2 linked regions of the Pelodiscus sinensis genome follow. The protein of the gene in region 1 interacts with the protein of each later gene in a biochemical or structural test. Links are inferred from orthologs where the notes say so. Each region holds a gene or a part of one and is shown on either strand. Other genes may lie near its edges. The genes, in order: COIL and VRK1.

The links.
Region 2: of the proteins of COIL (region 1) and VRK1, one has a biochemical effect on the other in vitro, tested with the Homo sapiens proteins (2 studies listed by BioGRID and IntAct, with this or other methods). The link is inferred for Pelodiscus sinensis from reciprocal best matches to the Homo sapiens genes COIL and VRK1.

Annotation. Positions count from the first base shown.
Region 1 is NC_134730.1:18,932,201-18,948,025, forward strand, and holds the start of COIL (coilin), read right to left. Parts: upstream 7,087-15,825; 5' UTR 7,042-7,086; coding exon 6,785-7,041; intron 2,932-6,784; coding exon 1,734-2,931; intron 1-1,733. Other genes in the region: SCPEP1 (retinoid-inducible serine carboxypeptidase), read left to right, coding at 8,443-8,503, 11,978-12,123, 15,083-15,172, 15,698-15,825. UniProt on the Homo sapiens protein: Component of nuclear coiled bodies, also known as Cajal bodies or CBs, which are involved in the modification and assembly of nucleoplasmic snRNPs.
Region 2 is NC_134714.1:26,958,639-26,975,246, reverse strand, and holds the start of VRK1 (serine/threonine-protein kinase VRK1), read left to right. Parts: upstream 1-9,178; 5' UTR 9,179-9,337; intron 9,338-9,432; exon of another isoform or gene 9,433-9,593; intron 9,594-16,608. UniProt on the Homo sapiens protein: Serine/threonine kinase involved in the regulation of key cellular processes including the cell cycle, nuclear condensation, transcription regulation, and DNA damage response.

The sequences.
Region 1 (15,825 bases):
AACCATCATCCCGCATAGTCCGTCAAGCTCTCACATTGAACCCGCAAGGAAAACGCAAAAGAGAAAGACCTCAGACAACATGGAGAAGATCTACTGAGATTGAAGGACAACAACTGGGGTACTCCTGGAGTCAGCTGGAAGTTGTGTCTCAAGACAGAGTGAAATGGAGGAGACTTGTAGATGTCCACTCAGAGTACAAGGTTTTAAGAAGAAGATGACCCTTTACTTTACAGATTTCAAGAGGAAGAGCAGCATTTCTCAAATTGGAGATCCTGACCCAAAGGGGAGTTGTGAGGGGTGAGTGGGTCACATGGTTATTTTAGAGCAGGGGTGGTGAACTTTTTTGGGGTTGGGGGCCACTGACCCACAGAAAAATCAGTTGGGGTACACACACAAGTGAGAAGCAGAAAAAAAAACCCTCACTGTGGCTCCTGAATGAGAAGGAAAGAAACACTCCTCACATTGCACTCACACGCCAGAGGCTATGTGGGTCCAGCCTAGTAGATTTTGTTTGCTCCTGGCCAGGAGACCAGCCCAGGCTCCCTAATGCTGGGGAGGGCCCAGAGCCTTGGGGGCTGGATCCAGGCAAGCTGAAGGCCACATCTGGCCCTCAGGCCTGAGGTTCCCCACCCATTTTAGAGGGATTGCTATATTGCCATCCTTACTTCTGCACTGACTTCAGAGTTGAGCGGCCAGAGAGTGGCGGCTGCTGAATGACAGTCAAGCTGTTCAAGGCAGCAACCATACCATGCCATCCTTCTGCATCACTGCTGGTGAAGGTTCTACCTTCAGAGCTGAGCTTCCAGCCAACAGCCACCGCATTGTAGCTGCCCAGCTCTGAAGGTGATGCCACTGTCAGCAGCAGTGCAGAAGTAAGAGTAACCCAGCAACCCATTCATAACTCCATTTTGAGTCAGGACTCATACAATAACAGCACCTTTAAATTTCAGACTTAAATAGCTGATATCATAAAACGTATTATTTTAAAAATCCTATAACCATGAGACTGACCAAAATGTAGCATGAATTTGGTAGGGATCTAATTCAAACCAAGAGGTAGAACACAAGCTGTGTATAATGTACAAAAAATAGTATTTATAAACACTTGGTCACAATATGAGTCAACTGGCCGTAACTAAATGAACAACAGAGTTGTATTCTTTATATTGCTCTTGTTCTTTTCATTTTTATTTGTTCTTGGTATTTATGATCAAACTGTGTAGCTTATTTCAAGGTAACTTTGAAATAAAGCGCTATTCTGAAACTTCCTTTAACTCTCGTGCAATGAGGTTTACAGGAATATTGGAATAGTGAACCTATTATATTTTGATATAACAGACTTTCTATTACGACATAGAATAGCTATTTCGGGATACCAAAGGTATCCCGAAATAGCTCTGCAGTGTAGAAGTAGCCTAGATGAGAGAGGCAGCGCAGAGCACTTAATCTGGATTCACAAAATGTGGGTTCTATTCCCATTTCTGACACCAGGCTCATGAATGATCTTGGCCAAATCTCTTTTCCTTGCTTCAATTTTCATATCTGTAAAATGAGCATAAAGATACCAACCTTCTTTGTTAAGTGCTTTGAGATCTAGTGTTGCGAAACACTATAAAAGAGCTAGTGATATTTCTGCATTTCTGTATATTTAATTACTGAAATTTTAGTAAGAAAACTATAAATTAATAAAAACTTTATAAAAATATGTTATGTGGACATAAATAGTCACTCACCTGGATAACAACAGAAGTGTTTGTTGCTTCTTCATTTAACTGCTGATGTTTCTGGTTTTCATCGCCATAGTTAAAGAAGAAGCTATTGCTTTCTCCACGGCCACGGCCACGGCCCCGACCCCGGATCACCGCACGACACCCCCGGCCCCTATGTCCTCTCCAGAAGTTATCCTCTCCTCTACCAAGTCCCCTTCCAAAACTGCTGGAGTTTACAGCTGGTCCTTGATTGCTAGCTGGCAACTGTTTACCACCACTTCTTACTAAGGATTTATTGAAGCCAACATTTGCTATGGGCTTTTTAATAACAAATGTCTCTGAATCTGAACTATCAGACTCCGAAGAAGAGGTCTTTGCTTTGGGGGACTTTGCCATAATGTTCACAACTGGGGGATTTTTAGGCAGCAGTTTTCCCTTTGAGTCATTGCTTTGCTGCTGCTGCTCTTCTTCCATCTCTATACTAGAGTTAGAATCTGAACTAGAGGACTGGGGTTTAGTTTTTTTACTAATTGCAGTCTTGGGGAAATTTTCATCTGTAGACTTGGCAGTAACTTTACTAGCAACAACAGTTTTTATAACAGAATTTGCAAGTTGGGATTTGTCTCTGTGTAGCATTGCTGCCATAGGTTTATGTGAGGATTTATTTTGTTTCATATCCATTTCACTGTCAGATGATGTGCTGGAGGAATCACGATCTGAAATTCCTTCCCTCTTTTTGCTAGACTGTGCTGCAATGTTTTTTACTGAGCTACTTTTACTAGGATTCAGAGGGAAATTGTGGTTGGCTTTTTCTAAAACAGTCTTTTCTCTAATTGGCCTTGTTTTTCTCTGCTTAGCATCCTTTCTTTCTGTTTCCAGATCTTTCTTTCCCTCGGACTTTTTTTTAAGTTTTTTGGACTCATCAAGACTGCTGTCATCATTTCCTCCTGCGATATCATTTCTTTCATTCACATCTTTTCTTTTTCTTTTCTTGGACTTTTTCCGAGTGTCTTGAACATTTACAGAGTCCTCTTCCTTACAAGAAAGATGTTCAGGGCTCTGTTTCTTCTTCTTTTTCCTTCTGTGTCTGTCATCTTCACTTTTAGCATTCCCCTCCACTTCCAACTTTTGGCTATATTTTTTTCTCTCTTTTCTTGATGAGTAAATTATACCATTACCAATCTCATCACAACTATCTGAAACTATCTTTTCCAATTTAACTCTGTCAAAAAGACAATAAACCAATGTTCAGTACAACTAGTACATTAATATTCCTTTCTACATACTGAGTTTAAAATAGTTATTAGACTACGGTCTAGGACCGTGGTCACCAACCAGTAGATCGTGATCTACCGGTAGATCTCAGGGGCTCTAAGAGTATCTCTTGAGCCCTCTCTGAACTGTGTGCCTGCGCAGAACATTTACATTAGATTTCCTCATTTGAGGAGCTGCTACTCACCGAGCAACAACACAGGCGAGTAGCTGCGAGAATGCTGGGAGCTGAGACGTCGGGAGGGCTGAATCACCCCAGCAAGCTGACTTTGGCTTTCAGCTGAAAGAGGCTACCCCACGCTCCAGCTGATTGGCGGCTTCTCCTCTGCGCCTGCCCACATGGAGCTTGGTGCACCCAGGCTGAGCGCCATGGCCAGCTGCCCAGGCAGCCACTTCTCTTCCCTCCAGCCTGGCTGCCCTGCGCTTAGCCCAGGGAGGCTGCGTCTAGCTCCAGCTGTGCTGGAGCAAGCTTCCCAAGCTGAGCGCAGGATCACAGATGCCCATCTGATGGACTGTATACGACTAGCAAACTCAGACTACAACCCAGACTTCAAGACACTGACAGATACTGTTCAGTCACAGGTGTCACACTGAGACTTTGTTATTGGAAGAAAAAATATATACTTATCAATACTTGATTTTAGATTTACAAAATAGCAGAGAACAAAATGTATAATTGTAAATGCTTCATTTGACATTTAAATAGCATGAATTAAAAAGACCATTTATTTCATAACTATAAACGTGATTTTAATTTTATATATTGCATAATTTAAAAATAAACTGTTTAACAGAGTGTATAAGGGCTGGAGATAGCAAGTGATGGACAGGAGAAGAGAGGGCGGGACTGAGTTAAAAAGTGATCTTGGGTGTAAAAAGGTTGGAGACCACTGGTCTAGGATGTCATAGCTATTCACGTAGGAGCTAAAAAATATTAACTCAGCAGACGAAGAGATGGAAACAAACTAATCTCAAAAACAAAGTACGCCAAAGATTAAACTGTCAAACAGCCTAAAATCCCCAGTAAGGATGTTAAGAAGTGGGTAACTGACTAATTGTGCAGTTGATAAAATTTGTATTTACTACACAATTAGCTGATAAATTTCCCTGAAGTGGCTCTGCAGTTTAAATGTAGCAAAAGCCAGGTGTGGAGGCAGCCCGGCTCCTACTACATTTAAACTGCAGAGCCGCAGCAGCGGTAGGTCCCAGCCCTGGCTCATGCGGGTCTGCTAAGTCCCAGATTGTGTTGTTTCCTGGACCTATTCTCACTGCAGCTTTGCAGTTTAAATGTAGTAAGAGCCAGGTGGGCAGATAGTGGAAGCCGGCTTCCACTATCTGCCCACCTGGCTCTTACTACATTTAAAATGCGGAGCTGCAGTGGGGGGTAGGTCCAGGACCTGGTGCAAGCTGGATCTCAGACCACTGAGCCTTTGCCTCCTCTGTCCACCGCAGAGTCAGTGCTGTGGGAACCTCCCCCAATACAGAGGCAGCACGGAGGGGGGAGGGAAAGCGAGTAGTTACTCGACTAGTCACTTACACCCTTAATCCCCAAATGCTCATGTGTGGGAAAAGGGGTAGTGCACACTGCAACACATCCCTGGTGCCCAAGCGATCCACATGCCAGCATAAATTAGGGATGTAAAAGGTTAACCAATAAGCATCCCCCTTAACAAGGGATTCTTACCGGTTCCGATTAAGGGGTGGGAGATGGAGTAGATTCTTGCCCATAGCGTGAAGGGGGCTGTTCCAGCCCCACCAGGCCTGCCGTGCACAAGGGCATTCTAGCCTGGATGGAACAGCTTCTCTGCAGCAGACACTCTTCATTCAGGGGCTGCTCTGGCTCTCCAGAGCAGCCTCTGTCCACAGCATGCCTGGGTGCATTTCAGGCAGGGGCTGCTCCTGTGGGGTTGGGAGAGAGGGTGCACCAACTCCACTGCCTAGCTCCCTTTAATCAGTTAATTAGTTATCACCACCTTTAACCACTTAACCAACTACATAGGATTTTAAATCCCTAGTGCAGATGCCATGTATTAAGGGCACTCAGTGGGCAATCTGCAGGGAATATGGGTTATACTGTCCTCCAGCAGCATAGAAGCCTTGCCATGCACCCCAGATTTCCTCTCACCACACCTGCCAAACTTCTGATATTTGGGCTGAGGCACAGAGTTTGTATACCACTCTAAACCTGCCTCCAAAATCTCAAGATTTTAAGAGGACTTCCAGACAACAATAAATGTGCTTTTCAAAAGAGTGTTAAAACTTCGGCTACAATATGACCAGATGATATGATTTGAAAGGTATTAAAAGGTGTCTGCACAAGGAGAATAGAGTAGGGATGTTTCAAATTGTTTAATTTAGTAATTGTGTAATCACAACAATTGTTAGCAGATTATTCAATGGCCCCTGGAGATGGGGCCAGCAGTCAGTGCGCTCCCAGCCCCACTCTGCTACCTCTGTATCAGAAGCAGCAGCGCAGGGTGGCAGGCAGAAACCCGTCCGTGAGAGGAGCCAGTTTAAAAATTGGTTCCCCAGGCAGACCGGCTCCTGCCTGCCATCTTGCACTGCTGCCTGTGACACATAAGAACGGCCATACCGGATCAGACCAATGGTCCATCTAAGCCCAGTATTCTGTCTTTCAGTAGTGGCCAATGTCATATGCCCCAGAGGTAGTGAACAGAAACAGGTAATCAAGTGATCCCTCTCCTTTCATCCATTTCCAGCCTTTGACAAACAGAAGCTAGCAATACCATTCCTACCCATTCTGACTAATAAGTATGGATGGACCTAACCTCCATAAATTTATCTAGTTCTTTGAATCACACAGAGTAGCCTTTGTTCGTGGGGAGCTCAGGTTTTTAGACTGGCTCCCCACCTGCCACCCTGCACTGTTGCCTCTGTATCATGGGTGGCAGACAGCTCCCCTGAATGCTCTTCATTTTAAACTCTGAGTTTTAAATGCAGAGCATGTGGGGTAGTGGCGTTATGGTAGCTGCGGTTAATCAGGGCCATTAACAGATTTAGTCATGACCGGTGTGGAAAAAGCGAATAAGGAAATTATTTGCTTATTCCCACAATATAAGAACTAAGGATCACCAAATGAAATTAAACGGCAGCAGGTTTAAAACCAACAGAAGGATGTTCTTCTTTGCTCAGTGCACAGTCCACCTGTGGAACTCCTTGCCAGAGGATGTGGTGAAGGCGAGGACTTTAACAGGGTTCTAAAGAGCGGCAGATAGATTCACGGAGGTTAGGTCCACCAATGGCTATTAGCCGGGATGGGTAGGAACAGTGTCCCTAGCCTCTGTTTGTCTGGAGGTGGGGGAGGGATCGAGTGAGGATTATCTATTGTGTTCCCTCTCTCTGGGGCATCTGGCATTGGCCACGGTCGGCAGACAGGACACTGGGCTGGATGAACCGTTCTCTGACCCAGTATGGCCGTTCTTATGTTCTTACCTGAGGGACCCTCCCTCCTCCCCCCACACTTCTGGGAGGCTGGCACCTCCCCCCCCCCCGCTGCCTCCCCCTCCCTCTGACCCTCTCCCCCCCGCTGCCTCGCGCCTTCCCCTCCGACTCCCCCCCCCGCTGCCTCGCGCCTTCCCCCCCTCTGACCCTCTCCCCCCCACTGCCTCGCGCCTTCCCCTCCGACTCCCCCCCCCGCTGCCTCGCGCCTTCCCCCCCTCTGACCCTCTCCCCCCCCCTGCCTCGAGCCTTCCCCTCCCTCTGACCCCCCGCCGCCGCCTCGCGCCTTCCAGCTGCCTGACCCCGCCCCCAGTCTCTGAGCGAGCCTCGTGCCTGGCCGCTACCTGAGGGAGTCGTTGTCCCGCACCAGGCGCGCGCTCTCGGTGGGCGGCAGCAGCGCCCCCTCCAGGAAGAGGCTGAGCTGAGCCCGGCGGCTGAAGCCGAACTTGTCCCGGATGAGGCTGATGAGGTCGGTGACCAGGCGCACTTGGCTGGGCTCCAGCAGCAGCCAGCACAGCGAGCAGCCCGGGCTCCCCGGCGGCGGGTAGTCAAAGAGCAGCCGGAGCCGCACGGGGCCCCCTCCCCCGGCCGCCGCCGCCATCTTGAACAAGGAGGCCAGAGCGGGGGAAGGGGGCTACGGTGCCCGACGCGGGACAAGAGGCATCGGCAGCTTCGCGATGCGCGCGCCACCTGCCGGCAGCCGTGGCGAACTGCAGCCGGAGAACAGGGCAGGCGGGAGCAGCTGCTTTGCATTGCTATTCATCCCGCTACCTCCCCCTGCCCCCGTGTGTTCATTACTGAGCGCTTCGTGGACTTTGGTTTTGGCCTGGTATTGATTTTTGCCGGGCGGTGGAGCTCAGAGCAGGATCAGGGAGCCTGTTTCCGACAGTGTTCCATAGAGCCTCCTTTTCATAGGGAGATCCCCGAGAATTAGTCACCTGAAGAAGAGCTTTGTGTGTCTCAAAAGCTTGTCTCTCATCAACGGAAGATGAGCTAATAAAATATACTACCTCTGTCACCTTGGTGTGTGTTTTAGACCCGGATCCTGCAACTGGGCATGCATAGTATTAAAATATGCCGAGGGTAGAGCCAGATGCAAGAGTAAAGCCTTAATTATCATTTAAATGTTTTCCTCCTTCTGTCCTCCAGCACACCCCATGAAAAACTAATCATGTAAAACAATTCTGCTTTTATGCTCTTAGAAGAACTTGTATAAACATTTTAAATCTAGGATATTGCAGTCAGATTTACAGGGTTGGGCCTTTCTCCTGTGTGGAGTCTCATTAACTTCACTACTCACATGAGAAAAATAAGCTTCAGGGGGTAGCCGAGTTAGTCTGTACAGGATAAACTTAAAAAACAACAAATGGTCTGGTAGCACTTTATAAACTAACTAAAACATGTAGATGGTATCATGAGCTTTAATGGGCACAGCCCACTTTGGGTTAGAGCTGCAAGATACACACAAGGAGTTCTTGAAAGTGTTAATCCTGACTAGGATAAAATTAGAATCTAAAATATGAGGGCATTTTTGGGGGGGGGGGGGAACGGGAGGGAAAATATTTGCTTACAGTTGTATCTGTAGGGAATCTGAATTTGGAAACCGTAAAGCACTAGAGAAGTGGAAACAGATTAATCTAAATCCCTTTAGCACAGGTTTCACTCACTGATTTTATACACACTTCCTTTCCTCATTTCACAAGCTGCAGTTAGAGCCCAGCATCAAAGAAAGTTTTCCTATTACCAAGGTCGGTACATTCTGTGGCATAAATGGGGAAATCAGACAGTCTGGTAAAGCACAGATAGAACCACGTTAACAGTGTAACCAGTGCAGATCTCTCTTGCATTTATCATGTAGGAGAGGCAAGAGGGCGCCCTTGGCTAGTAACCGGCTCCCTTTGTAACCTGAGAGCCACCACTTCCCTTTTTACTACATAGCTGACTGGAGACTCGAGTCATATGATTTTCAGTCAGGAAACTCCCCACCCCAGTTGCTGCAGAGATGGAGCTGCTGCTTAGGCAACATGTTATTCCGATGCTTTTCCTGCTGACTTTGGGTTCAGGTACGTTTGGTAAAGGCTAAGTGTATGAGGGAGCATGTTTAACTAGCTCCATGAGGCGTTACTGGGACTAGGGTGATAGACATTGCTCAAAGCACCTTCCTAGTAAACTTGCTCTAAACTGATTTTGTGGCTTGCTGAACTTTAAGGCATTTATTGTTAGGTGAACGCTGAGGAATGAATGATGACTCTCTTCACCGTGTGTACCAACCCCTTCCCCCATTTATTAATTTATTTATTTTTGTCCTATGTCCTGGCAGAAGCATTTAAATGCAGACGTGCTGAGCGTTTTGTGCAGTGATTTTTAAGGGGCTCATGCTCTTTTAAGCTTTGCCTATCCCGTGACATTAATTGTGTAATCACTTTCTTGGGACACTCTGGCTGTTCCCTTAGTCTTTCGCAATGGAAAATGTCTGAACTGTGTTCAGAATCAGGCCCTAACAATAGAGATAAATTTCACCCATGTGAATTACCCTACTGAAGTCAAGAGCAAGTATTTGCCTGTGAATCAGGGATCTATCTGATTCAATGTCCTAAAAACGTACATATCTGCTGTGGGAGTATTCTGCAGCCCACTAATCTCAAGGAGTAAGTCCTTTTTACTTCCACAAAAGTAGTTTTGCATTATTGAAGTGATAACCAGACAGTCTTTTATTTATGTTGTATTTATAAGAACTGAATTGTGAAGCCTGTATCCTTCAATAAGGACCATATGAATGGCTCTTTTCCCGCACATAGAACCCACTGACTTAAATAGAACTCTGCATGGGTCAGTCTGTACAGCCTCCGAATTGCAAGTTAGGGCAGCAATGGGCAACCTAGGCTAATGAGTGGGTTGCATAAATGACCCTAGTTCATCTCAGTGGGCCATAACCAAGCCCGTCTCCCAGGATAAGGTAGTTTTGCTAACTGCTCTTGTGTACCTGGAATTTGCAGGGTGTGCAGATTGAATCCTAGCAGCACTTTGACTGGATGCAGAGGGAGTACATGGGGCTCACAGTCAATGTTGTGTGCAATCAGCATGTACTTCATCTGCTCTTGCTTTCAAGCATGTGTCACTTTAATAATACTAGTAGGAAAAAAACGACATGGACAGAAATTAGCAGAATTTGGAAACTCTGTGGATGGGCAATGGTCGTCTTGCGGGCTACACATAGAACCCCAATGGGCTGCATGCAGTCCTCGGGCGCAGGCTGCCCACCACTGAGGTAAAAGCTTGAGTTTCAAATTGTGTGTAATTTGTTGTTGTTGTTGGGAATTGGTGCTTTAATTTGATAGTTATGTGCTTCTCTTTAATGTAGAAGTATGTGCTATGCACCCTTAAGATATAGTGTCAGTTGTTATTATGTGGCTGATTTCCACCTCAGCCCTACCTCAAAAGCATGAAGCTAGTGTAGGGTGGGTTAAAGATGCCACCTTCTTACACAGAAGAGGATTTCTATGGACTATCTGCTGCTTGTCTCACCCTCCCTGGTTTCCCAACAGAGACAAGTGAAGATAAAGTCTCAGTTGTGTAACTTTTCTCAGACAAAATATCATTCTTCATCATCAGTTTAATGTAACTGAGAAGTTTTGGAGCTTACTGTTATCTTATTGATAAGATATAAGTGGGGAGACTGTTTTATGTTGATAAATGACTATGCATGTGATCTGTCAGTCTAAATTTGAGAGGTCATACAACTGAGGATCTTGCTGGACCTCTGTATTTCTTGAAATAATTTCATAAAGTGAAACTCCAAAAGAAAATGTTTAAGCTAAAAAAATTCCTTATTCAAATTGCACCTCTGATTTACTGTGAGCTACTGTACAATGCAACCTTGTGGGGGTAATAAAAAGGACAAGGACTTGTAAAAATCAAGCAGATACTCTGCACTTCAGGGCTACGTCTACACTGGCCCCTTTTCCGGAAGGGGCATGTAAATTTCACGAGTCGTCGTAGGGAAATCCGCGGGGGATTTAAATATCCCCCGCGGCATTTAAATAAAAATGTCCGCCGCTTTTTTCCGGCTTTTAAAAAAGCCGGAAAAGAGCGTCTAGACTTCAAAGTAGGAATAAGACCCTCCGGAAAAGGGCACTTTTTCCGGAGGATCGGGGCCAGTCTAGACGCTCTTTTCCGGCTTTTTTAAAAGCCGGAAAAAAGCGGCGGACATTTTTATTTAAATGCCGCGGGGGATATTTAAATCCCCCGCGGATTTCCCTACGACGACTCGTGAAATTTACATGCCCCTTCCGGAAGAGGGGCCAGTGTAGACGTAGCCCCAGCTGTTAAACTGCTTTCAAGCCCAGCTTCAGGATTTTTCCTGAAGTTAGAAAAATAACTTCAAGACACACCTTTGTTGATCATTGTAAGCAATTGACCAGTTAATTCCTAACAATTGATTTAAAGTTAGAATCACGCTTATACTGGGAAAGGTAAATCTTAGTTTACTTGATGCTGATTTTCCCTCCTAGCACAAGACTTTTGTGGCTTGGCCTTTGGCTTCCATCCTCAGCTTGTATGTTCCAAGCCCTTTGATACTGGGTAATGCAATATTCCCTTGAGTGAAGCTGCCTGAAAATAAAGGCCTCTTGCCTGCACCCACTTCATAAGTGCATGGTCTACTTTTTTGATCCAATGGTAGGATCAGAGCCATAGAGTTTGGTGTAAAGCTCAAAATACCTATCTTGGGTGTGATTGCTTGATAGGACAGCAGAAAGTTTTTGAGTATAAGGCAAATGCATTGTTGCACTTCAAAGCAGGCAGCATTTTTAGGTGATGTTAATAGTCCCAAAAAGCTTATCAATGAATGACACAGGCTAATGCAGAGGATTGAGAATGCAATCCTTTTTGAAACCATGGCACAACATGAACAGATGAGCTGAAGTCCATTTTGGCAATACGAATGAATGTGAATTATTGAGGCTACAAAGGTTCACATCAGAGCCGAAGAGAATAAGGCTGAACTAATTATTTTAGAACAGTCACACTGATAACCCTTCCTCTACTTGTGGTGTTTTCAAAACATTCTGATAACACTGCTAGCAGAATGTTGGCTCATTCGAGGCCACTAATATTGCTCCTGAAATCTTCAGCTAAGTTGCTATTGGTCAAGTGTTTTAAGGCCAAGTATTTCACATTCTAGTTTAGGCTTGGCAGATAACTGACCATCCATTATCTGATCATGATCAATTATTCTAGCCAGAATGCTTTTGTATAGGCAGTGACTTACATTTTTGTTTGTATTATGGTGCCATCCTTTCATTTTTAAGAAGTTCATTTCACTGGGTTTCACATTTTTCTCAGTTAATAACTGTTCGAAACTTACTTTTTGAGATTAGGTATAAGTATTTAAGGCCTAGCCTACCACAATCAATAAAATCTTTCTCTTTGTTACTGTTATAATAAATTAATTCTTTAAAATATTTGGCCTGTTGTTGGTTTTGAATTGGTCAAATGCCCAACCCTAGCATGTTGAATCAGATAACCTTTTTCTTTAGGTGCAGTTCTAAAACAATCACAAGAACAAAGAGAATCATGGGGGTATGTAACAGTCAGAAGCAATGCAAGCATGTTTTGGTGGCTCTACTATGCAAACAACCCTACCAAAAATTTCACGGAATTACCTCTCATTATGTGGCTTCAGGTAAGATATTGTGAAAGACATTTTAAAAGGAATCTTGATTTCAACATACTGCTCTGCCATGATATTCTAGTTATACAGGAATAAGATTTTGAGCCATGACTTAGGTCTCAGAGAATATCTGAACTAAGTTTTCAGGTCAGAAAAAGAATACTGAAAATATTATAAAGCTGTTATATAAATTAAATTATATAATGGAACTCCTTGCAAATGGGGTATGTATTTAGCTCTGACTACCCTATATAAAAAAGCATATAGCATAAACCAGGGGTTCCCAAACTTTTTGACACAGGGACCAGGAAATCCATTCACGAGCTTTTGGAGGACTGGTAACATTCATTTGCATACTTGCATATTCATTAAGCAAATCACAAATATTCAAATAAGTTGTTTCTGGTCCTCCCAAAGCCCCCAGCGACAGCGTTAGCAAAGCTTTTGATACCGTCACCCACAATATTCTTGCCAGCAAGTTAAGGGAATGTGGATTGGATAAATGGACTGTAAGATGGATAGAACGCTGGCTAGATCAGGGTTTCCCAAACTTTTTACTTTAGTTGGAACCCGGTTTTTTTTAGTACTGTTTTTTGCAGCCCAAAAATATAAACGCATATAAAAAAAAGAATGAAAAATGAATAAATTTTCAGTATTATACCCAGCTGCATCCTCCATCCAGCCTGGGCCAGGGCTTGGGGGACCCGGCGTCACATGAGCACTCCAGGAGGCGGGAGCAGGAGCAGATTGGGGGTAGGGTATCTGACTAGGAGGGAGGGTGGAAGGAAGGGTAGGGTTTGCCAGGTATCCAGTTTTGTACCCGACAGGCCGGTATTTGAAGGTTTTGTCCGGGAAAGAAATTGAGAAATTACCAGACATATAAAATGCCTGGTATTTTCTAATTAGGTAAGCTTTATTATAATTAGGTGTATCAGTTCTTAGTTGCGAACTGCCTGGCTGGTAGATGTGCTCACGCTGCCTGAGTGTGCCTACCTGCCAGGCAGTTCGCAACTACTCCTGGGAGGGTATGTGGGGGGGGGAGGGGGAAAAATGGAATCCCCAGCCAGACTCAGGGTATGTCTACACTACCACCCTAGTTCGAACTAGGGTGGTAATGTAGGCAACCGGAGTTGCAAATGAAGCCCGGGATTTGAATTTCCCGGGCTTCATCTGCATAAAGCCGGGCGCCGCCATTTTTAAATGTCCGCTAGTGCGGACTCCGTGCCGCGCGGCTACACGCGGCACGGACTAGGTAGTTCGGACTAGGCTTCCTAATCTGAACTACTGTTACTCCTCATTTCACGAGGAGTAACGGTAGTTCGAACTAGGAAGCCTAGTCCGAACTACCTAGTCCGTGCCGCGTGTAGCCGCGCGGAACGGAGTCCGCACTAGCGGACATTTAAAAATGGCGGCGCCCGGCTTTATGCAAATGAAGCCCGGGAAATTCAAATCCCGAGCTTCATTTGCAACTCCGGTTGCCTACATTACCACCCTAGTTCGAACTAGGGTGGTAGTGTAGACATACCCTCACTCATCTGCCAGGGTCTGCAGGATCCGCATGTGCCCAGGTCAGTCCCACTTCCACCCCCCTCCCCAATCTCCCCAGTCCAGCCCTGCTGCCCCTGTCCAGCCCTGCTTCCGGTGGTCAGTTCCCCCCGTCCCCCACCAATTTCCCCTGGTCAGCCCTGCTCCTCTGATGACCCCTCCCCTCCCGACCAGCCCCACTGCCCCCATCCAGCCCTGCTTCCGGCAGCTGGTTCTTCCGTCCTCCTCCTGATCTCTCCCAGCCAGCCGCTCCCCCAGCTCCTGTCCAGCCCTGGTTCTGCCTCCCCCCCCCCCATCTCCGCAGGACAGCCCCACTACTTCCAACCCTGCTTTTGCCACCCGCCTGCCTGGATCTCCGCGGGACAGCCCCACTGCCCCCAGCCCTGCTTTCACCGCCCGCCCACGTGGATCGCCGCGGGACAGCCCCACTGCCCCAACCCAGCTTCTGGGAGGCCGGTTCCCTGCCACCCCCTCCCAGCCCACCCCGCTCTGCTCCCTTCCCGGCAGCCACTCTGAGGCCCGGTATTTTTTTCCCGCGGCCTGGTACCGGGCCATGGCCCATAGTTTGGGAAACACTGGCATAAACCAAGACCTATTATTATTCTTTGGATTGTGGTAGTACTTGGCAAACATGTAACTGAATCAAAATGCAGGACAATGTAGCACTTTAAAGACTAACAAGATGGTTTATTAGATGATGAGCTTTCGTGGGCCAGACCCTCTGGCCCACGAAAGCTCATCATCTAATAAACCATCTTGTTAGTCTTTAAAGTGCTACATTGTCCTGCATTTTGCTTCAGCTACCCCAGACTAACACGGCTACATTTCTATCACCATGTAACTGAATGACTGATCCAGCCTGAAGGGCAGATCCAGTCTAAGGCCAGAGATAAATTGGTGAAAATGATTAGAGGCCCTGAATGATTTCTGAATGGTGAGAAGGAAAATATTAGGACTGTTTAAAGTGGAGTAGTTCAAGGCCATCGTATCTGTGTAGGAGGTAATACTGAATATAAGCCACCAATTTACTCAGGCTTTCACATCCTGGATTAATTCTGCAATGTGTAGTGCACATGCTGTGCACCTTGGGAAAACTGACTATTATGCATGCACCAGCTCTGTAGCTGACTCTTGCATACTTACTGCCCTGAAGTGTGTGCAGCTCTGGATGGGAAGAAAAGTTCAGAATGGTATCTGCATAGCATAAAGTTAATCAAATGCTTTCACAAATTAGTGATTGAGTATCTTAAATTCCTCTATACACAAACAGGGCATATTATGTATATATGTGTGTGTATATATAATATATAACATTTCAGCATGCAGCACAGAAACTGTTCATTTGTAATTTCAGTGAACTAATTCTATTGGTTTGTCTTGATTCCCCAGATTCTAATTGGCATTTTTGTTTTGTTTCTGCCTATAGGGAGGTCCAGGAGCTTCAGGCTGTGGATTTGGGAACTTTGAAGAAATTGGTCCCTTGGATGCAAAACTGAAACCAAGAAATACAACCTGGGTAGAAATTTAGCTTTTACCTGCTGACTTACAGATGGGATCCTTGCTTTCTCAGTAAGGTGTTTGATCAAGACAAAAATGCCCCAAGTAGTACTGTGTCCATTTTAAATTTAGTACTTAACATCAGAAGTTTTTTGTAGTTCTACTCTTGATCCAACAAACATGTTTAAAGTATCATGGAACCATACGCCTCCACATGTTTGCAAGAACTTGGATATCTTTGAATAATTTATCCCTAAAATGCTATAGTTGGGGAAACAACTCCTAAAAGCAACTCATTTAAGCATAGACTTATGCATTTGTTTTGGTGGAGGAAACATGGTTGGCTAAACTTGTCTTTAATAAACATCTGGGATTGGGGAAAAAAGGAAAGGCGGAATTGCAGTTTGTGGCCTTGTAGATACAGTTATAATATAGACTGTCATCAGGAATAGTGATAGACCCTTACAAAGCACCACTACTGATTTGCATGTCATGATAATCAAATGGTGACTTCATACAGATCTCCTGTCTTCTGTTTATATAGCTGCAGGCAGCCAGTTTACTGTTTGTTGATAATCCTGTGGGCACTGGATTCAGTTACACAGATGATAGTAATGCATTTGCAAAAGATCTGGCAACTGTATCTTCTGATATGCTGGTTTTTCTTAAAGA
Region 2 (16,608 bases), on another chromosome or scaffold:
CAGCCGTTATATTAACTCTTGACAGTCTACCTAATGTAACATATTTGCAGGGCAAAACCATTAGCAGTTCAATGTTTCTTTAATTTCTGTGCAGAAGCATCAATTTTTTGTCAGATCGCATTTTGCAACACAATATCAGTCTTGCCATATCCATGATTTAGACGGGCTGCAGGGATTCTACTGTAATTATGTCAAAAATGAAATATTTCAAAATGTGATTGACAGGTTGATTACAATAAAATGCATGTGATTAAACTCAGGGTGTGCTTGTGTAATGAAGGAGAGAATGTCAGTGGTAATTAACTGCATTTTTGTTAAATTTTGTTGAGCGTTTCTTACTCCTAGGTTGAAGTTTTTGTAACCAATGGGCCACCTAGTGGTGGAGTTACTTATAGTTTCTTAGAAAAATTGGTACCATTTGGGACTGAGACAATTTTTATGTAAATTGTAGATTTTTGTTTACATGTTATGTAAATTATTTGTAAATTACCATAACCATGAATGTCAGAAGTATGTGTAGAGCAGTGTAACGGAGAGGACTGCTTGTTAGGTTTGAGTACAGGAGAGCAGCAAGAACTATTGCTGTTCTCTAGGCACTTCTAGTTAGTCTGCCAGGGGCCAGTAACATGGGGATTCCTATAGTAACAGGGTATAATGTAGCCATTAAGGTAAATGTTTTTGCTATCCTATGGGCAATATCAGGAATTTCTTAAAGGAAGATGACCTTTTTACTAACTGGAAAGTTCAGATGGTGCAGCCAGTCTGCTAAACATGCTGTTTGGTTGTATATTGTATTTTGCATGTATTTTGTATATTGTATTCTGCATCAACTTGCCCTTCTTATATTTTTCTTCTTGGATCGTAAGCTCTTTGGGATGGAAACTATGGTATCTTGCGTCTGTACAGTGCCTTGCTTATTTTACAGTGCTAATATCACATAAATGATAGGGGAAAGTTGCTTTACATAGATGTGTCTGCTCTGGACTTCTGCTTTTATCAAAGTCTGATGATACTATGATGTGAGCATGAGATTAATTGGGCACAAATATCTATATTGTGTCTTGCCCCAGTGTTAAAGGCATTATATAATGTAGGATCAAAACAAAGATGTCTTTTATTGTGTGGCTCCCTCAATTTGCCAGTGATTGCAAGCCTTGATGTTCCTTTGTCTACTCTCCCACAGTGGTTGCTGTGCTTTTCCATATGCTGCTCACTACAGCTGGAACATCCTTTCCAGGTCAATACTCACACCTCTTTCAGAGCTTACTTTTATTGTCATGCCTATAAAAACTGAGTAAACAGAAAGATTAATTTACTTTTATTTATAATTTGGGAGGATCATAGAACAAATATTGGAGCTCTTTGTCTGGGACTACGTCTTCCTAGGTATCCGGGGGGCACCTAGTACTTACATTGCTACCATCATATAAACAGTAAAGAATAAAAAACACAATACAATAAAAATGAGGGGGAGCCTGATTTTTCTAAAGGCAATAATTGAAAGGGAAGGTAAACTCTTCCTGGAGACATTTTTTAAAAATGGGAAAGAATAAGAAATAAAGTTGGTACTGAAACACCCACCATGGCAAAACCATGACAGCCTGATAACCTCAGAAATGGGGATGAGATCATTAAACAGCAGGCAGTATGGCAGTAAGGATACCAGTCTCTTTATGTAAGGTCCTGCACAGCCCAGGGCTCTGCTTGTTTGCATCAAATAAGGGTTTAAAAGTAAATGCATATCTCTATTCTTCATTGCATTTTGCTTGAGACTAGTTATCTCAACAAGTCATTGTTTGATCAGTGTGCCACTAAAACCAAACCCGCTTCACTTCAGGGATCAGTGTCCTCAAAGCTACAAAGCACAGTAAACACTAAGCTTATAGATTCCTGTTTTTTTGTTGAAATAACATGTATTAAAATCATTGCTACTGTTTAATAGTAAATTGTTTAGAGGTATGCTAATGGACACAAGAAAATTTCAAACCTCCATAATGTGCTTTAATCACCAGCTGGAGATCAAAAGCCACCATGTGATTTTATACATCACGGGCAGCTTCCAGAACTGCCTTACATGGAAAGAGATCAATGGTAAAATTGGTAGATACAGCAAAGCTGTTGCAATAAAAGCGTTTTATGTATCTTGTTCAAAGCATATAAGTGCCTTTTAGATCACTGATTGAACCATAGACATTATAAAGTGGAACCTTTTAATACCAAAATAAATTTCTAGAGTAAAATTCCATTATAGGAAAAAAGTATTTCACTGCAACAGGATAGATAATAATTCTTTCACATGTAATGGGATATATGAAATGTTTGATGATAAACAGAAGTTCTTTGTACCGTTATAGTAAGATCCCATGTATTTGTGTTTGTACTATAATATATCTATCAGACATGATATTCTCTCTCTCTCTCTCTCTCTATATATATATATAGTGGATACTCTCCCTATTAAAACTTGTCCAAACTAAGGCGAGCGAAAACACTTCATCTTAAGGTGGATAAATGAAAATATAAAGTCTTGCCCCGTATAAACTTTGGACCACCACCAAACTAAATATTCAAGCTCTTTAAAAATGAAAAATCATGAAAGCCCTTTAAGTTGGATGAATTCTGTGCACTTCAAAGAGACTCTAGTCTTGGAAGCTTCATGTTAGTTAAAATGAATCTCTCACAACTTTAAATCATCTGCCTGTTAGCATCACAAACAGGAAAAGAGAAACTTTCTAAATGGTCTTTCTTTAGCAGCTTTTCCACACAGGCAATAGTGGTTATGCAGTAATGTTTTCCCAGGACCCAAACCCTTCTTTCACCTTCTTTATTCATTTACTTTATGTATCTTAAGCCATACTCAGTCTTCAGTCACCCGACTGTGTAATTCCATTCAAGTCAATAAAGTTCCCTATCTTAACATATGGACTCTTCCCGAATTTCTCATCTCAAAGAGATTTACCTCAGTGCATGCTACACAAGTCCTGCATAGCACTTCAGCTCTAGAAGGTGTAAGGTGACTTTCACTCTCTGTTTAAATACTGACTAATCCATGTTGTACTTGCAGAATATTTTAATGCCCTGTTTAGTATTTTGTTTATATCTACAGAAGTCATATGCATTGCTGTTTCCCCAACCATTTTAAAAATAATGTTCTTATCATTAAAATTAATAATTTGATTGTTTTATAAGGTTTTTGTAAGAAGTAAAATTATATCTTTGAAGTAGTATACCAACAATGCTGCGGAAGAACCAAATCACTGAAAATGGACAATGCCCTCTGCCAAATCAATAAAAAATTTATTCATTTTAAATTTGGGAGCAAAAATCATTCAGTTTTCTGCTCAATATTTTTGGAGATTGCTGATGATTCCAAACTGTATGTATTTTCTTCAAGCAGAAGAATGAAAAACTAAACAGTTCACTAAGGACTATGGTTTTGGTAGGAATTTAGTAGAAAACTGAAGATTTATAAAATTTTCCAGAAGACTATTCTTGAGGTTGTGGAATCTCCATCATTGGAGATATTTAAGAACAGGTTACATCCGGGGTGGGAAATAAAAAAAACCACAACCCCACAGGGTTAGTCCCTGGTGAGCCACCACCACTATATTTACCTGCATCTCAGCAGGTATCGGAGGATCGCAGCCAATGCAAGCAGCAGGAAGCTCCATGGACCGGGACACAGCTACTATCTCATCCTTTCTTTGCCTCAGTTTCTTCATGTGTAAAATGAGGATAATGTCTGTTTACTTCAACATCTTGCTGAAGCTTAAGTCACTACAGTGAAAGCTTTGTTATCAGGCACTCATGGGGAATGGGAGTTGCTCATTAATTGAATTGCCAGAGTACAAACAGGGGCGGCCCGTGCGTATAGGCCGACTAGGCCGTCGCCTAGGGTGCCGCGTTAAACGGGGCACCAATGATGACGTCACACCATTCAGGGCTGTGGAGGCGGGGGCGCCAATCATTCATTCCGCCTGGGGCGCGGGGGTGCCGATCGTGCATTACGCCTGGGGCACCAGCTGCTGGCAGCCTGCCTCTGGCTGCCCCTGAGTACAAAGCTTATTGTTCTGCCCCACCCCTTACTGACCGATCTGGTTCTTGGCAGCTCAAAGCAGACTGAGTCGGAGGGAGGTGCTTGCTGATGACATCAGCTGTCAGAAGCCCTGCAATGGCCAGCTGGGCAGGCGGGAGTCAGTTGTGTGCACCTGAAGAGATGGCAGTATTGTGGTTGGGGCAATGCTGGTTAACAAAGATTTGTTGTTAACAAAGTGCTGGATAACAAAGCTTTCACTGTATTTATAAACTGCTTAGAGGAGTGGAAGTAGGTGGTGTTGGAGAAATGCAAATTATACATTTTAATCATTCACTTTCCTTTGCAGGAAAATATCTTTCATTAAATCCTAGATTAAGGGCATTAATGCTTTTACCCTCATGTCTTTTTGTTAGAGATGGAATAAAACATGAAACTTTTTAGTTTTACACCTCTCTTTTCATATCAGTTACATTCACCCTCAGCATAATGTTTTCAGCTTCATCTAGCTTCTTAATCAATGAGAACTGTGTTCTTCATCTTGTAAAAACTTTGTTTAAATATAATAGAATAATTTGTTTAATTTGCTAGCTGCTGCTAATGAAAGGACCTGGGGTGGATTTTCAATGAAATATACTTTGCCCTGGCACAGGCTCCCTCAATGACACGGGGCCCTGAGTGCTAGGCAGTCCAACACTGGATCTGACAAATCCCTGTCCTCTTCCCTGCCACCCATGCACAGAGGTGTGGCTGCTCTGTGAGTGGCAGTCCCTCTGCAGAGAGGGCAGTGGGGGGTGCAGGAGAACAAGGAGGAACATTTGACAAGTTCAGCAATATTGACAATTGAAAGTGCCTCTTTACAAAATATCACTTAGGAAGACTTATTTGACGATTTTGCAAAGAAAAAGTACAGAAAGAAAGCTAGCTGATTTTTTTTCAAATTGAATACATTTCTTCAGAGGGAGTTAACTTTTATTTTTCCATTCATGCGTCCTCTATACATTTTATTTTTACACATTTTTCATGTTGGCTTAATGCAAATACAAGTTTTCATCTAGACCAGAAGTTCTCAAACTTTGCTCTGAAAACTCCATTCAGGTGGACTGAGGAAAGGTTACTATTATTATTATTTTTAAATAAAGCACAGGGTCCCACTAACTCTAAATCTGTCACTGGAAATGACACATGGGGAAATCCTTAAGTATGTGTCAGGAACAATTTTGTTTCTAACTAGTTATTAATAGCACTAAAACACAATAGGATATTAATATATTAATAATAATCACCTATTAATACATGGTACATCTTGGAGCATCATGAGGTCATTGGGCAGATTGCCTTGTATACTAATGGATCAACAAGGCTCTGGAGTGTTCTGTTGCTCTTATACTATATTTAGGCTTAAAAAGATTAGATTTTTATCTGTAAATGTCTATTTTACTGTACACATTCAAAGTGAAGAAAAAATGATTAATCTAATATTGAAATTTCAGATAGGCAAAGTAGTAAATTCTCAAGCAGGATTTATTCTTAAATTTGTTTTAAGAATGCTTAATTTGTATATTTTGTGTTATGACAGTTTGTGTTGTAACAGTTATATAGCTTATAGCTTTTTGAACCTTAATGTCTATAGTCATTAAATAGTCTGACTGCCCTATCACTTTTGACAACTGTGATAATTTTAATATTTGTTCTTTTTATTTAAAACCCATGATTTTGCACAAATGTGCAAACTTAAATAGATAAATCTAAAAAAGCTTAAAAATAAACATTGATATTATCGATCAGAACCAAAGTAAATCCCCACTGAATTCTATCAAGCCCAACTACAGGCAGTCCCCGAGTTACGCGGATCCGACATAAGTCGGATGGGGTTACGAAAAGCAGTTACGAATGGGGCTTTTCTCGCCCCGGAGGACGGGAGCGGCGGGACGCCCAGATGCGAGATGTCCTCCGGGGCGAGAAAAGCTGCTCCCCATCTCCCTGGTCTGCAGGGAGATGGGGAGCAAAGCCTCGGAGCACGTCCGCAGGGGGACAGCTGCAGCGCGCCTGGGCTGTCCCGCTGCAGGCGTGCTCCAAGGCTTTGCTCCCCGTCTCCCTGCAGACCAGGGAGACGGGGAGCAAAGCCGTGGAGCACGCCCATAGGGGGACAGCCCAAGCGCGCCTGTTCCGACTTACATACAGATTCAACTTAAGAACAAACCTACAGTCCCTATCTTGTACGTAACCCGGGGACTGCCTGTATTTTATTTAAAAATAAAATAAAAAATTAAGTATTCAGTTATTTTATACATACACTGAAGAAAACAGTATAAAATGGAAAGGTGAGGAAAAGTGCAGGAACTACATTATTTTAGTATGAACAAAACCTGTCACAGATATGAATGGAAGCAGCATGTCCTGAACTGTGGTTTGGGAAGTCAAAAATGAGCTAGAAAATCGTGTGGGTCATTATGCGTGGGTACTAGACCTGCAAATACTTGTAGAGGAGCCTGGACGGCCCTGCCTTGACAATAATGTTTGCCTTGACCACCACAGTGCGGATCTCTAACAAGCAAAACCTAGGCCTGTCTCAAGTCTGGTGCACGTAAGCACGCAGGCAAGGCTTGGAGGGTAGGGAGGGAGCTTTGGGAGGCAGAAATGTTTTGCACAATCATGCAGGTTAAGCATCATACATCAAGACCGCATCATGAACACAGGACAATCAACCTTGTACTGGTACTTCTATTTCTTATAAGCAAAAATTCCAGATACAGCCATAAAACTGTTAACTACGCACATAGTTTTTGCAACATCCTGAGTAGCAGGATGTACCCGAAATAAGAGTATTGGGCATTTTAGGTATCCTACACAATGCATAATCAATTGATAAATATTATTAGAACAATCAAGTATTGCTTTGCTATAAAATGAGCATAATAAGAAGAATTGATGGTAGGTAGTGAGCAGGATTGACCCACAGGTCCTGTTTGTTGTAACTAGAAGTAAATAGACTCTTTACACTGACTATAGTAGTGCATGGTGTCCTGAAAAGTGGAAGTAAAAGTGACCACGAGCTCCTGCCTGGTACTGTAGCGGCATATAGGTAAAGTTTAAGTGAACTAAGCTTAATTATTGTAATATAATAAATCTTCTATTAATTGCTTTTGCATTGTTGTATGCTGTACTAATTGGTTTAGAATGTATAGCATTTAAAGTTTAAATTGTATAGTAATTATTTTTAAGGCTTGTAAAATTTAAACAACTATATTAACTGCTTTAAGTTTGCAATAAATAAGAAAGTGGTCAAGTCTCTCTGGAGTGTCCTGGTTTCCCTCAGATCTAAAATAAATCAAACCACATGACAATACTATGCAGTGCAGATATACTCAAAGTAACGATGTACTTGCCATTCATACCCTGCAGGTTTTCTGTTAATGATGTGTTGTATTTGGCAGTTAAGAATCACTACAGACCAGCTGTATCAATGTCCTCTCACAAATCTGGCTTGCACCTCTGAGCTCTGTTTTCTTTGGCCAGGATTATAATCCTATTTGGTCTGAGCCATTTTAAGCATGATCCAGCATCATATTAATTGTATCTTTACAGCACTCTACAGATATTATTGCAACATCTCTGAGAGATACATAAGAAATATTCCCATTACGAAGAGGGGAAAGCAAAGCAGAAAACCTAAGGGAATGGTCCCATGTGAGAGGAGTCCAATGGAGTTTCCAGCTCAGACTATAAGGCCACATGTTTCAAAAAGAGCTTTCTCTAATTCAGTTATGCAAAAATTAGAGATGGAGCAACATTTTGAATTGAAGGTGCCAACACCTTTGAATTTCAGGAGGAACATGATTTCGGGTCACAATGCCACCCAATGAGATTTGGCCTCTGTGCCCCTCCATAATCATTGTAAGAATGATCTTATGGGTAGTGCTACAGTGCATAGTACCTTTTGCTTTCTTTACTTTTATTTTTCTGATTTTTCTTTGAGTTTGCTAAGCAGGCTGCAAGGTATAGAATTCAAAGCAGTTTGTTGAAAAGCAGTAAAAATACATTATATGGGAGCACCTGAGGGGTAGGGTTTTCAAACAGAATAGATGTCTAGGTACCATAATCATGGACATATTACAGTTTGATCAATCAACACATTCTAATTTTCTGCTTATTAAAAGAGTATCCAGCAATTCATCTCTGTTTAGGGATCTTTGCGCAAAACCTCCACCCTTGAAAGCTGTTTTTCTTCCCTTCTTGGCGTTCCTTCAATTCTGTTCGTCCTGCTATATGTATCTTCCAGATTCACAACTTGGTAGACGTAAGTGTGGATGTGATTTGATTGTCCTCACCCAATATTGGTTTTATGAGTCAAACTCTGCTTGAAATCTCTCGATCTACTTGTCAACAGATATTACTACATTTTATTCTTTTATTGTTAGAGAACAATCTGCTCTGACCCTGTGAAAGCTCTGTAAGGAGCAAACCATATTGTTGCATTTTATCACTTCATCTCATTCTGTCTGTAACTGTATCATGAATTTTGTAAAGTTGATATATATGAAAAAATATTATGCAGAATTTGAATTTTGAACAGAGAATTTAGAGCCTAACGAGCTAACTTTAAGGTTGAATGAAAAATTCCTCAGCACATCAAACAAATGAAATAATTCATCATAATGATTTATTTGTGAAATTCGTGAAGTTGTACCCATAGAACCACAGAAAATAAAAAGATCCGTTAATATTATCTTATATCCAGTTACATGCAGAAATTCATCCACGTGCTAGAGTCTGGTATTGGCATGGAAGGAGAGTGGCGACTTTGACATGGGGGAACCTCCCATTTAGTGTTAAATCTCATGCTTTGAAGCCAGTCCCAGGATTTGTGAGTCCCTGCGGCTGGCAATTATGCAGATGCATCCTCCTTGGCTGCATTTTCCATTTGCCTCCTGGGCGTACTCATTAGATAGCCGAGCTGCTCCGAGCTGGCGTTCCCGAACGCGGCTCCCTTCTGCGGCTCGTGATGCTTTCGCATAGGGACAGCGCAGGCTGGCGCTGCCAGGTGAGCAAAAACTACAACCCCCAAGGTGCACCGGGCTCATAGGGGGCGGGGAAGAATGAGGGAGCAACGGTGGCCGATGCGGTCCGCGGGAGCCTCTGTTCCCGTGTAGGCGGGCTCTGTCGGGTACATAGCCAATAGGCTAGGGCGATAGTGGGATGTGCGTAGCCTGGCGGGCGGGCTGCCTGAGGGCTCGGGCAGTGCGGGAATTTCAGAGGGCAGAAGGAGCAGTCGGCCCGGGCCCGGCTCCTGAGACCCAGGAGGTACTTGACGCTGGGGCTCTGGGGAGGCGGGCGCAGCCGGCTGGACCTTCAGCCTCCCCCCCCCCCCACTCGGGAGCTGGGCTCCGGTCCGGGAAAGGGAAGGGGGAGGCTGTAGCTGTCTCCCCCCCCGAAGAAAAGGTTTGGCCCCACTCGCATCCCGCCGAGGAACAGCCTCCCTCGCCCGCCCTGGGGGCCGATCCCGGCTGGCTCCCCCTCCCGCGCCCATTTACACCCCCCGCGGAGGCTTGACTGGAAGGTGTGGAGCGTCATTCCGGCCCCTTCCCCATGGGTGGGACTTGCATCGCCGTGGAGCCCCCGACCCCGCGGTTCCCCGCTTCTCAGCTTGGGCCCCGCCCTGGCCGTGGGGTTGGAGGCGGGTCACGTGTACACAGGGCCACAGGGCCCGTGCAGATAAGGGCGAAGCGTGTTTCTTCTCTGGGGGGACCAAGGAGGGGGACACACACGTGAAATCCATCACCACTGAAGGGGAGAAAAACATAATTTTTACCTTATTAGAAATATATCCTTAAAATCCTGCCCAAATGTGTTAGGATCGGGGACGTCTATCCTATTGCAGCTGGGAGAGTGGAGATGAGTTGGCTTTTTTTTTTTTAAAGCCTTTGTAGGACTCAGAGTTGTACAGGTGTAGGCTCAAGCCCTTTGTCCCCAAAGGATTTCAAAAGAGAGCCCTTCCAGACATGTTCTCTGTCATTGGTATGGGAATTTTGAGTTTCTTCTGGTGCAAAATGTTTTGTGGTGTTTGAAGACTAAGTCTTCTTCCTGATATAAGTTACCCTCACTGAAGTCATTGCTGCTTGAGACAGACATGTATTCCACCACTTAATCAACATTGACTTTCCAGGTCATTTGGGGCCCTAAATGATGATTAAAACAGCAGTCCACCCACTCCTTGTAGAATTACCCCAAATACTTCTTAAGGGCTCCTTTGTAGTGTGGGTGTTGAGTGCTGGTCCAGAGATGTGGAGGTTTTGGGGTTATATCTAATATGGCTTCTAGACATGTTTCCAGGTGATAAAAATATATGAAAGGATTTATCAGTCTGAGTATTGTATGAATGGATGTCAGAAAGTTGAGGGAGATCTGAAATGTCATTGAAGTACAAAAGATTAATGATGTCTGGAGAAGATGGTTTAAATCCAGAATCAGGGAGGTTGCTTCTAAAAGATCTAGGCTTGGCAGGTCTGAGCTGTATTGAGGGATTCAAAAATAAAATGTCTTTGCCTGTGGGAGAAGAGGTCTGTGTCCAGTTTCCCCAGCCTTCTGCTTTCCTTATAAAATATTTTAAAAGCTACCGATATAGGTTCACCCTGCTTAGTTTGAACATAAATACTGAGAGGCAAGAACTTTTAAATAGCTGTAACTGAAGCAATTACTTTGCTGCCAATTGATTTTTAATAACCCCAGTTAATCTGAGATGTGCAGCATTATTCTAAACATGTAACAGAAGGCCTGAGGGAGGAAAAAAATTATTGTATAAATTAGACCTTCATTTGCTGTAGAAAATAGGGATGTCAACATGTAGTCGACTATATGGTTAACCGATAAATTTCAACTTATCGGTTAATCCTATTGACTACACGCATTCCCCCTTTCCCCACCCTCCCCCTGCAGCAACGAGGTGGGAGTAGTGGGAGCTAAGGATGTTAAAATGCAATTATCTGGTTAATTGTATAGTCTATTAGTTGATAAGCACCACAGCTACAGCGGGGGTAGCTCCAGAGAAGCCAACTTGAACTGGGATTGAGCAGTCCTGGCTTGTGCCAGCTCCAGATCCACCTATGCTGCAGCTCTGCGTTTTAAATGTAGTAAGAGCTGCTGGGCGATTAGCACGAACTGGGACTGTTTGCAGCAGCCAGGGCTGGCCACTATAAACAGAGACTGCTCTGGCACCAGCCCTTTTTCATGGCAGCCAGGATTGGCTGCAGACAGGAGATGCTTCCTGAATGTTCCCCTACCCACGTCCACCCCTAGCTGCTGCAAACAGGGGTTGCTTGGCCGCAACAGAGGCCGGAGGTGGGGAGGGGGGTATACGGCACCCTGGAGATTGTTCTGGGGGGAGCCGGCTTTTAAACCAGATTCCCCTAGTGCCAACTCCTTTTGTCCCCATTACTGCCTCTCAGAGAGACAGCAAGAAGGGAGGGGTACTACAGAGAGCACTGGGTGAGCAGGGACTGCTTGAGTCCCTGCTAACCCTGTGCTTCCTGCAGCACTTCTTTTTTGCACGTTTCAAAAGCAGAAGCACCCGCAGTGGGAACTGGCACAAGTGGGGACTGAAGCAGTCCCTGCTCACGCCATTTCCCACTGTGCCTCTGCCTCCCCAGCCTCCTGCAGAGATGGTACTGGGGGAAATCACCTTTACCGAGTCCCCCCGTCTTGTACTCCCTATGGACAGAGGTTGGTCCACAGCAACAGTCTCTGTCTGTGGGGAGCTTGGACCTCCTGCGGACAGGAGCTGCTGCCACAGACGAGACTCTGTCCATGGTGGGCCCAGACTAGCCACAGACAGGCGGTTCTGTGAGAGGCAGAGTGGCTTCCCTTCATGGGGTGCTTGGACCCCCCATGAACAGGGGCTTCTGCTGTGGACCAACCTCTGTCTGCAGTGAACCCAGGCCACTGTGGATAGAGGCTGCTTTGCGGCAGCCTCCCCTGTTGCCGCCGCTGCCTTTGATAAAGACAGCAGGGTGGAGGGGCAGGCGACACCATGAAGCTGGGGCTGCGGGGAACTGGCTTTTAAGCTGGCTCCCCCCCAACACCATCTCTTGCCTGTCCCCCCCTTGTTACCTCTGTAGGAGGCAGCAGTGGGGGGGGCAGGTGGGTCCCCAGAGCGGGCACACAAGAGGAGCCTGCTTGAAAGCAGTCTCCCCATGTGTATCTGCTTCATACTGCCCTCTCACTCTCTGTGCTGCTTCCATGAACAGGAGCTGGTCAGCAGCAGCATCCTCTGTCCGCAGGGGGTCTGAGGTCCCCAGGGACAGAGGCTGCTGCTGTGGACTAGACTCTTGTGTGTGGGGAGCTTGGGTGCCCTGCGGACAGGGACTGCTGCTGCACTGCTACCTCTGTATCAGAGGTAGCAGCGTGGGGTGGCAGGCAGCTGTCTGCGTGGGGAGGTGTTTTTTAAATTGGCTACCTTGGCAGTCCATCTCCTGCCTGTTATCCTGTGCTGCTGCCTCTGATAGAGAGAGAGAGAGCGAGCGAGCGAGCAGCGCGGGGTGGCAGGGAGCATCCTGGGAGTGAGGCCGAGATCACACTGGCTGCCAGCCCTGCCTCCGAGGACAATCGAATAGTCTGTAGCCACTAATATTTCATGCTGTTACACATCTATTCAGTTTCACAATATCTAACATCCCTAGTAAAAATTACTGGTTTTGATTCTGGAAATATATGAAATATTTGTGGCTATTATGGTGCCTTTAAGAAATCATCAAGAATACATCCCTTGTTTTGAATAAAACCTCAAATTCTAAAACTGCACACAATTTAAATGAAGTATTTCAGAAGTTTAAAAAGTGTCTTTTTGTGGAGAAGAGGAAGGATTTTTTTTTCTGGAAGATTTCAGGAGTTCTCCATAGGGATGTTAAATGTCAGTTAATTGAATAGTCGATTAACGTCATGAATTCTTATGGGTTACTTGGTTATTCCATAGTCCCCAGGGGCTCACTCTTGAGGAGCTGGTCCATGAGGGGAACCAGTTTAAAAACCAACTCCCCTCGTGGACTGTCTGTCTCATCCCACTCTGCTGCCTCTGATACAGAGGCAACAGCACAGGATGGCAGAAGCCCCTGTCCAGTGGGGTCTGAGCTCCCAGACCCAGACTGAGGTGGGCTACCTGCCTATCTGGCTCCTAATACACTTTAAAGACAGAGCCACAGCAGGGGTAGGTCCTGGACCCAGTGCAAGCTAGGACTGAGCTGGGCTGCTGGACAGCCTGCTAAAAAAAATTATTGGGTGGGAGAGGGGAAGGGATGCATGTAGCCTATAGCATTAACCGATACGCTTTTGCTCGTCCATTAATGGACTACACTATTGCATCCCAAATTCTGCAATGAGTAAGTGGTATAAATAATGTGCAGATTTCATGTCTTTCTATAACTGCCTATTGACTAAAAGGATCATAGGTTAGCAGCACTGTCCTCTCTATGCTGAAAGATCCTATTGAAATAATCAAATCTAAAAATGACAGTTTTTAGACAATTAGGAAAGAACCAGATCAGAAAAGAATTCAGCAGTATAGTCATTCTGAATGGCCACATACAGAAATACTTCCTTAAAATGAATTTGATTTATATTCATTTGACTTCTACTGAGAATGGTAGAAAACACAACCTGGGAAATGCCTACTCAAGCTTATTTAAGAGCACAACAGTAGTACAGATTGCATTTATAAAAAGATCACTGATGAGATAAAATTGCTAAATTGTATGTACATCTCAAGCATAGCATGTGGAGAAGCAGTGACCTTGTATTCTCTAAAGTGGTTTTGGAGAAGAGTTCAAACATCCCTCTACTTCTGTTGTAATTTTTCTATTTGTTAGGAGCAAAATATAATATAATTCTATGCAATTTCTGAGCACACAGCCCTCTACAGTGGGGCAACCATATTCTTTAAAAATATATTCCTGTCAGTTAGCAGGGTCAAATATTTTCAGTACTTCAGAGGCAGTATAATATATGACATCTACATAGCATTGTACATCCAAGGATTTCAAAGCACTTTGAGTGTGAATGCAATTAAGTTTCACAATATTCTTGAGAGGTAGAAAATAGAAACCTTTGTTATCTCTCTTTGGAGAAATGGGAGGTGCTGGTTAGCCAAACATTCTGGTTGGTTAACAGTTATAATTACCAATGGAATACCAATTTTCAAAGGATTAGTATACAATAAAAATGAAAGTATAAAACAGTATACAGGTACTCACCAATCTAGTAGTGATACTGCACTGCATAGTGGTTGGTTTCTTGAAGCACTTAGGTCAGGGGTGGGTAAAAGCCTGTCAGCAGGCCAGGCCCTCTTAGCTCTTTGATCCAGCCCTTGCAACAGTTCCTGGCCCTCCCTCCTTTAGTCTCATGCGAGTCCTTTAAATAGTAGCGGTTAAAAAGGCTCGTGGCTCCCGGCCCCAGAGCTAGTGTGTTGCTTGAAATCCAGGGATGCAAAAGCCCTTTCAACTTCTATTGAAAGAGCTTGTGCCGTCCTCACAGCTGTTAGGCGATGTCAGCCATAGGGAAGGCATGAGCCCTTTTAAATAGAAGCAGTTGAAAGAGCTCTAGTATGCCACCTCTTAGGCAATGCACTAGCAGGGAGGCCAGGTGCAGCAAACCCTTTCAAAAGCAGGAGTTGAAAGGGCTCGTAGCTCCCACCCCCTGCTAGCGTGATGCCTGGGAGTGCAGGGGAGGTGGGAGCCCTTTCAACTCCTGCTATTTAAAGGCTTCACTCCTTCCAGGGCAGCCCGCAAACACTTCAAAAACATTTTGAAGTGGCCCCCCTTCAAAAATTATTGCCCACTTTGACTTAGGTGTAGACAGGTGACTTACTGTATAGAAAACTTCATCGTATGACACTATGTATCATTATAGGCTAGGGATGTAACTGTTTAGCCAGTTAACCAGTGGAGACTGGAGCAGTTCCTTGCCAGGGCAGTTCTAGCCCTGCAGGGGTCCTGCCATGAGCAGGGGATGCTCCGGTCATCCAGAGCAGCCTCTTTTCATAGCGCCCTTCCCTCCCCCCACAGGCAGGGGCTGCTCTGACTGGGCTGGAGCAGCCCCCTGCACCACCAACCATCCTCATTTAATCAGTTAACTGGTTAAACAATATGTTTATTGGGGGCAATAGATTATTTTTCCTCGCAAAGGTTATGTTTACACTGAAATAAAATACCTGTGCTCTGGCTGTGGCTATCTTGGGGCTCCTGGTGGTCAGTCTGTGGGGCTACAGTTGATGTGTAGATGTTTGAGCCTGAGATCTTTGACTGTCTCTCATTGTGGGACACTTCAGGAACCAAAAAATCTATGATGATGTAGGAAATTTCAAGTTGTCTAAGTCTGTATTAAACATATGTCCTACTGTGGTGTTAGTTGGGTATTATGCTGTTCTGTATGTGTGATTTTTTTACTCTAATTTGAATACATTTTATTTGTTCATACCTTAACACCCCCCCTACACTTTCATTTTGTTATAATTTTCCTGCTATGTAAATACTGATACTACTACAGGCAGTCCCCGGGTTACGTACAAGATAGGGACTGTAGGTTTGTTCTTAAGTTGAATTTGTATGTAAGTTGGAACTGGTACATATTGTAGGGGAAACTCTAGCCAAACATTTCTCCAGAGCTCAGTTTTATTCTCCCACACCTCACTTCCCTCAGTCCTTTATTCTCAAGCTGAGGTGTCTGCTGAGAAAAGCCGCTCTACGTCTCCCTGGTCTGCTGGGGGGAAGCAGCTAGTGCGGGGTTGCCTCACCCCGTTTGTAAGTAGGGATCCGATGTAAGTTGGATCCATGTAACCCGGGGACTGCTTGTATATTGTAAAATAACTGCAGTAGTCCTCCCTAAAGGTGAGTGATTTTGGGGCATCATTTTGTAAAGCATTTTAAGATAATATGGAATTAATATTTATTTTTAAATATGCAAATTTTATTTCGTGGTTAATTGTATACGACTGACAGAGAGAGAGATGCTTTGAGACAAGGGATGTCTTTCAGATATGCCGAGGGAAATAGTCCAGTGATGTATCTAAAATTAAATTAAAAGTACAGTGGTCCACAACTTTTAACGTCCATTCAATCTTAGCAAATTATGTACAACACCAAAAGTAGCAATAAAAGGCATTTTATTTTCTTTCCTTTTTTTGATGTTTACCTTGTCTCTTCAAATGTTTTTGTCTTAATAATATGTTGTAATTGGCTACAATTGCTTCCACTCCCAAAATCTTCCTGTATGTATACTGGATTACTTCTGAGAAGGTTCATACCTGAACACATGATCTCAAATGCAGAAGTATGGGGAGCCAGAGCTTCAGTACTTCCAAAGGCCAGGTTTTTTGCAAAACAGTGCTTGTCTTTTGTGTTTTGTCCTTTTAAAACTACAGTTGCATGGCATCTGACCCAGTGATAGCTTGACCAACTTGTGAGTGGGCACAATGCCATCCTAACACATGGTTTAGTTGACTGTCTACATTCATGCCCATCTATGCGTATCTAGTGTATTTAAGTGTATGATTCTCAGCTGGAAACAGTCAATCTCTGTCCATTCCGAGC